Linked DNA regions of Drosophila melanogaster. The protein of the gene in region 2 interacts with the protein of the main gene of each other region in a pairwise test. Each region holds a gene or a part of one and is shown on either strand. Other genes may lie near its edges.

What was found.
Region 1: the proteins of CG14589 (region 2) and Obp57c interact in a two-hybrid assay, tested with the Drosophila melanogaster proteins (one large-scale study listed by BioGRID).

Annotation. Positions count from the first base shown.
Region 1 is NT_033778.4:20,501,596-20,504,766, reverse strand, and holds Obp57c (Odorant-binding protein 57c), read right to left. Parts: upstream 1,184-3,171; 5' UTR 1,101-1,183; coding exon 1,047-1,100; intron 985-1,046; coding exon 589-984; 3' UTR 565-588; downstream 1-564. Other genes in the region: Obp57b (Odorant-binding protein 57b), read right to left, coding at 13-375, 439-501. UniProt on the Drosophila melanogaster protein: Present in the aqueous fluid surrounding olfactory sensory dendrites and are thought to aid in the capture and transport of hydrophobic odorants into and through this fluid.
Region 2 is NT_033778.4:6,135,589-6,138,957, reverse strand, and holds CG14589 (uncharacterized protein), read right to left. Parts: upstream 1,656-3,369; 5' UTR 1,532-1,655; coding exon 1,145-1,531; intron 970-1,144; coding exon 698-969; coding exon of another isoform or gene 693-697; intron 641-692; coding exon 550-640; 3' UTR 547-549; downstream 1-546.

The DNA of each region.
Region 1 (3,171 bases), about 14 Mb from region 2:
AATTATTGACATTTATTCCGAATCAATTACGGGATGGCCAGCCTTAAATGCACACATCACCAGTCTAAAACTGTACGCACAAAGTTCTTCGGGAGCCTTCTCCATGCACTTGGTAATGGATTTGGATGCCTTATCGGTCGTATTCATCAAATCCAAATCCATTCTGCCTTGAGCATTCAACCATTTCGTTGAATCCCTTTCCAGCTGACATTTAATATTGCACTTGTACCTCAAGTCGACTTTCTCGTTGAGCAGGTAATCCAAAGTTTCGTGTCGCGCGTATTTCTCATATTCTCCTATGGTAATATTATTAACTTGTAGACACTCCTGAAAGTCTTGCCAATTCCAATGAAATATATCAAAGGGGTGGCGAGCCTATATATTGTAGTTTGTTGAAAATAAATCAAAAGCTTAGTCAAATATAAATATCAATCCCACCTTGGCCAAGCTGAACAATAACAAAATCAGAGGCGCAATAAATACAAGTCTGTAGATGAACATTGTAGAAATGAAACTAAACAGTTGCTTGTGAATTTCCCGCTGGCATAAAACAATTGCGATTAAGTTGCTTGACCAGTTTTAGACCGATTATTCGTTTAATTTGTTTGTATTTTTACCCGCTTCGGTGACCTCATCGCTCTGCTCGAAGCTTTCAGTTAGACAAGTCACCATCTTAAACGCATATTCGCAATGATCTTCTTCCTCATCGTAGATTTTCTTGCAATCGTAGAGTATCTCTCGCAGTTCATCGCTCACGGGCTCAATTTGATCAATTTTATCCACATCCAAATAGCCATTGGTATCCAAAAGATTTCCCTTCTCCGCTAGGCAATGGATGAAGCATTTGTATCTTCTGTCGGTATTCTCGAGGTCATCCTCTTCGGAGCTGTTGCGATCGATGAGTTCCTGGAATTCAGCCTGGCTGATGTTATTGCTGGCCAGGCAATCTGACACGTAATTGGTTTCCTCCAGAAGTGAGAGACTCTATAATAAAAACCATACTTTCCAATTAACTGCCATATGAAACAGACCTCAGATGTGATTACCTGTATGGAGACCACGCTGACAGTCAAGATACATATTAGCCATAGCTTAAGCATTATCTAACGATTCGCAGAATCTGTTTCAAGATAAATATGGACATGGGTTTTCCTAGCACAGTAGCACCTCACGATAAACTGTTACTCGCAGAAAGGCGGTTCTGAATTTTATACACACTGGCTTGTGGCTAATTTATGGCGTCTAGCTTATCTGTATCTAGTTAGCTAGTTAATTGCGATCAACTGGTTACTGTACACAATATGAGCCAGTTGGAAGTACGATCTGTCGTGCATTTAATTGAGTCTCAAAACTCGGAACTGAATCAGCTTGCATTGAGCTCGAATCCAATGATTGATTTTCATTGGCAATTATATACTCTTACAATTTTTAAAGGCCGGCCACCAAAGCTTTTCCGGCAAAACTAAACACACACACTGTGCAAAGTTGCACGTAAATTTCATTTTATACGCAGTGAAATTCGCATAACATTTCCTGTCAACATATTTTGCAACACTTTTGTTGCAAAAATGAAGCGACAACTGCAGCGGCAGGAGCAACACAAAGCGACAAATTGCGTTGACAGTGGGTGGAAAAGGGGGTTTTAGTTTGGAATGGTTTGGTTTGGTTTGACTACAGTTTTTTTTTTTTTTTTTTTTTTTTTTGGAGAAAAGACATTCCTAACTATGCAACCCCATGCAACTGTAGACAACAAATGAAAATTCCAAGAATATTCACATTCGCAGTGAGTTTTGGCTTTTGCGGCCGGGACTTTGTCTGCTCTTTTCCAGCGACCTCCTGCTCCGCCAAACCGCTTGTCGCGTTGTTTACTTTGGTTATTTACGGCCTGAACAATTTTTTTCTTATTTTTGCCCTCTTTCTTTTCACGCTGCATACTTTGGACGGTTGCCAAAAAGGAAATATGTGTTGGGGAAAATTACAAATTTTTATGGTCATAGCTAGGTGCTAAACTGTGTCCTCGGCTGACCCAGCCTGTCGCTTCTAGTCCTGTCAAGTCCTGCTGCATAATTGCGATGCCATTTTGCCTATTTCTCAGCCCATCAATTTTTGAGGTTTTATGAAAATTTGGCATTTTCGCGAAACACGATATCGCTGTTATGGGTTTATTAGGGCGAAATTTGATTTCGTTGGACGCTAATTAGTCCTATGAAATGTTTCTGGGTCGATAAGCAGTAGGCATAATTCACAGGTCGACATGCACAATGGAAATGTGAAATAATGCGGATGTTCGAATCGAAATCAGATTTAATGGATTTCATAAATTTGGCATTATTTCTGCCTAATGGTAATTGAATATCAAACTTTTTGAAATTTAATGAGCCCACGCAAAAATTATAAGTATTGAACCTTCACTTCAGTAAAGTTTCAATGAAGGTTAACAAGAAAAAACTCTGACTTTCCTCTGACAGCTACTGCCATTTATTAAACATGTCAGGGGGAGCTGGTGTAGTTTTCTTTCCCTATTTTTCCCTCTTTTTCAGCTGTTGCCGCTGATACCTTTCCGGAAAAGTTGCCACAACAAAAGGAGAACTAGTAAAAAAAAAATATGTGTAAAAAGTTCTGGCTGCTTTGCGTAATAAAAATAAATAGTAAGTGACTTCAATATGCATGTCACGTATTTTGCATGCACTTTGATGCCACGCCCACCCCAACAAAAGCCCGCCCAAATACATTTTGGCACGTGCAGCAACACAATGGAATTTCTGGAAAAATGCGTAAAATGTTAAGGGATGTCGGTGGCGTAGCCATTGCATAACCGAAGCATCTTCTGCAACTGAGCCGAGACTTTGACTTCGCCAAGAAATTGCAACAAATTAATGAACGAACCAGAATCCCGCAGCTTGCCAACGACAATGACCAGGTTTCCCACGTTCGTTTCAGTATAGAGAACCACTAAGTAGTATACATTTATCAATTAGTTCGAAATGGAGAGCAGCATAGTCAGCTGCCAAGTTCATAGCATTGCCAGTTAGGTGCCGTTCTCGACGAAACCACTGGGGTGTGAATCGCTTCTCCAAGACAAACAAAGTCCGGGAAGTGGGTTCACATCCTGGAAGATGCAAGGGCCACGCAGCAAAAGGAGCAGAGGAGCAAAGGAGCTCCGCGCTCGAG
Region 2 (3,369 bases):
CTGCCAGTGACCCCATGGCAAAGAAAATAAAATGGAGAGTTCTGGCACAGTGGGGGAACGAAGAAGAAAGCTAAAGAACCAATCGCTAAATTCTGCCTTGATAAGTCATCGTCTTAGCAGTCGCAGTTGGAACAAACAGACGACCGACTGGTAGACAGCTATATTTTGCATTTTGTTTTCGTTTCGTTTCCGCCAGATGTTGTCGCGAAGGCCATCGAAGGGAGGAGAGGGCGGTGCGTTTAGGAAATTGGGAGGCGGTAGGTGGTAGGTAGTTAGGCAAATAAAACCGATTATCTGTGGTCCAAAGCACTGAGCTAAAATTGAATTTGGAATATGAATCGAATTGAAATAAATAACATTACTAAGCTAATTTTTATTTCCAGCTTAAAGGCTACAAACAGTAATCATTCTACAGATTCTACGTTTCAAATCGAAAAACAAACATGTGAGAATAACATAATTATCTTAACTGCAAGGATAGTGACAAATGTTTTGACCGAGGTTTGCGCTATTTCCGTTTAAAAACAATGGAAAAGTAGAGCAATTAATTTAAATATATTTGTTTGAGCTTTTTTCTTTGCGATCAATACAACAATCGAGATTTATGTTTGCATATAACTTAAAACTAACTAGATCATGCCTAAGAAAAAGACAACGATTATTAACATCTCACAAATTGTTACTTTACTCACCTTGCAATTCGGCCAACTGCTCGGTGCTCATAACAATTGGGAGAATCTGCTTGGTGGTGCTGCTGGGATCTATCGAATTCGGATCGGCAATCGGGCTCATATAGCACTTGCGCATCCTTAGATACTGCAGCCAGACATTTTTGCCCTCCCCGGAAGCTCCTTTCTCGCCATGGTCATGGACGTTCAGATTGATTTGACTATCGTTCAGAAACATCTGGCGAGTGAGATGGAAGTGGCTGTTGGTGATGTAGATGTTCGGCTCGGCCGGCCTTGGTTTCTGAGCAAAGAACAATGAATTGTTAATACACTTTACATGTCTCGAGGTCAATTAGATCTTTACATAACATGGCTAGCAGTGTAACAGTGTCTTTGAATGGAAAATAATATTGCGCGCGATTTTAAGATCAATAGATTCTCAAATATGTTGGTTGTTTTGTGTTTGTTTTGTTAACCTGTTCGTGCATCACGGACAGCATATAGTTTTCGCTGATCAAGTGGATGTTGTAGTCTCGCAGGTCCACCATCAAGCGCTCCATACTCAGGTTCTTTTCTCGCAACTCGCGCACCTGTGCGTCCAGCTGGCTTTTATCGTCCTCATAAAGCTGGAGGGTCTGCTCCCACTCGTTTTTGATCGTGCGGACGTCGTACCATTGCTTCTGGCCAAGTAGCCGCTGGCACAGAAAGAGCTCCACGAGTTGGGTTAGCTTGGACAGGACGTAGATGCACAGAAATATCCACAAGAAGGTCACGCACAAGTTGAACACGTTCTTGCCGCGGAGGTCCGCGTTTACTCCTTGCTCATGCTCTAGCCCTTCCAGGATCGAGGATACGTTCCACATTGGTCCTTCTAATGTGTTGCTTTCCGTACTTGAAATTCTCGTGTTTTTGTTGTGTTTGCTTGAGATTACGGTGGTGGAAATACATTTAAGGATAAACAAACTAAACTCTACCCATGAAAGGGCTCTCGAAGCCTACTACTAAACGTTTAAAAGTTAATAACCGACAGTAATTAATGTTCTCATGAACAACGTAACTTTGCTGAGTTCGGAATTGAATAGTTCAAAGAGCGTATTCATTTAATAAAATTTAATTCACTTAGGATACTTTTTGAACGTGGTATGTATACTTTGAAAATTTAATTTGATTTTATTCGATTTTAGTAGCGGCTAACTATTTGGACTGTTTACAATATGACTAGTGTTAGTAGAGGTGTTTCTAATATCTAATACTTTTTTTAAATTAATTTTTCGTTGATTTTGTGTTTGTTTGTGTGCGTGTCTGGGGTTTCCCATTTTATGACTTAATTAGCCAAAACACCAATATAATAATGAACCGCAGCAACTGCGTCAAGATTCGTGCATTGAACTTTGGTGGGTTTTTCACAGGGATTTTATTTACAGAATCTCCTACAAAATTTTCCTTGAGTAACTGCACACTTGGTTTACTGTCGCTTAGTATATATACAGAAGGTAGCGATCCTTAACTTTATCCTTTGTACATACATTCTTGATCAAAGCAGATTACCAGCCGAGTTGATTACCACTCCCAAAATCTGCAAAAAATTGTTACGCTCAGAAAGTTGAATACTTCGATTTAATTTGAATTTATTATTTGCCAATTTCTATTGGAATTTCAAAAAATATTTAAATATTCATTCTTAAAGTATCGTTTATATTATTTAAAATTTGATTTGCCTTAAACTCGAAACCATTGTTTCTGTTGAATTAAGAATTCCTTAAAGGAAAGAAATGGGCTCTAATTAGTTGTTTGACATGCATACATAGTGCTACTGCATAGCAGCCCAATCCACACTTGATTAAATATGTGCACTTTAAAAATAATTATAACAAATGTGCCTTAGTGTTCGTTGGAAGGCCTAAGGGGTAGGACTGGGTGGGTGGGAGCTTGGGGCGACCCCAAATACGGACGACACAGACTGCGTTGTGGCAAGTGCATCGCTATTTCTGTAGCCAGAAGCTTTTTACCAGCCAACGTTGTCAGGTGCTTACTGGAGCATCAGTTCCTAGCCCCCGGGAAAAGCAGCAGCGCGTGCTGCAATTACAGCACCCAACGCTTACAGCTAAGCCAATGAGTTGGCACTTGCGCTAACAACAAGAGCTCAGTTCCCCCAGCCTCCTGAATACTGATGAGTTTTTTGTTTTGGCCGTACTGCGTTCCAGTTTAACTGTGCAGGAAATAGTTATCGATAACTGGCGCGACAAGGGCACGCCAATTATGTACGCACGCTGGTTTTCTGCTTAGTATGCAATCTGAGGGACTAGCTGCCAGTGAGCATTATGATCAGAATTGTTGACACCCAGGATGCCAACATCTACATACATAGTGTACAAAAGCATTAGGAGCTCGGTTGGTATTACTCCAATACCAACAAGGCTTACAATTGTCACTTTTAATCAAATAATGTCATGCGAGCCAACATAAAAACAAGAAAAATTGGAATATTTGCACAGGGAAATAAAAAATATCATTGTGCCTCTAAAGCCCCCAATAATTTGTTTTACCTAGGAAAATATCAAAAAATTACATATATGTTTTATTCAACTTTTATTTTCGTCGACAATCTATCAAATGTCGGTATGCAGACGTTTAATTAGCTCTCGTATTTATGTATGTTATGCGCGCACGTTTGCACAGACAAAGAATAAGGATTTATTTT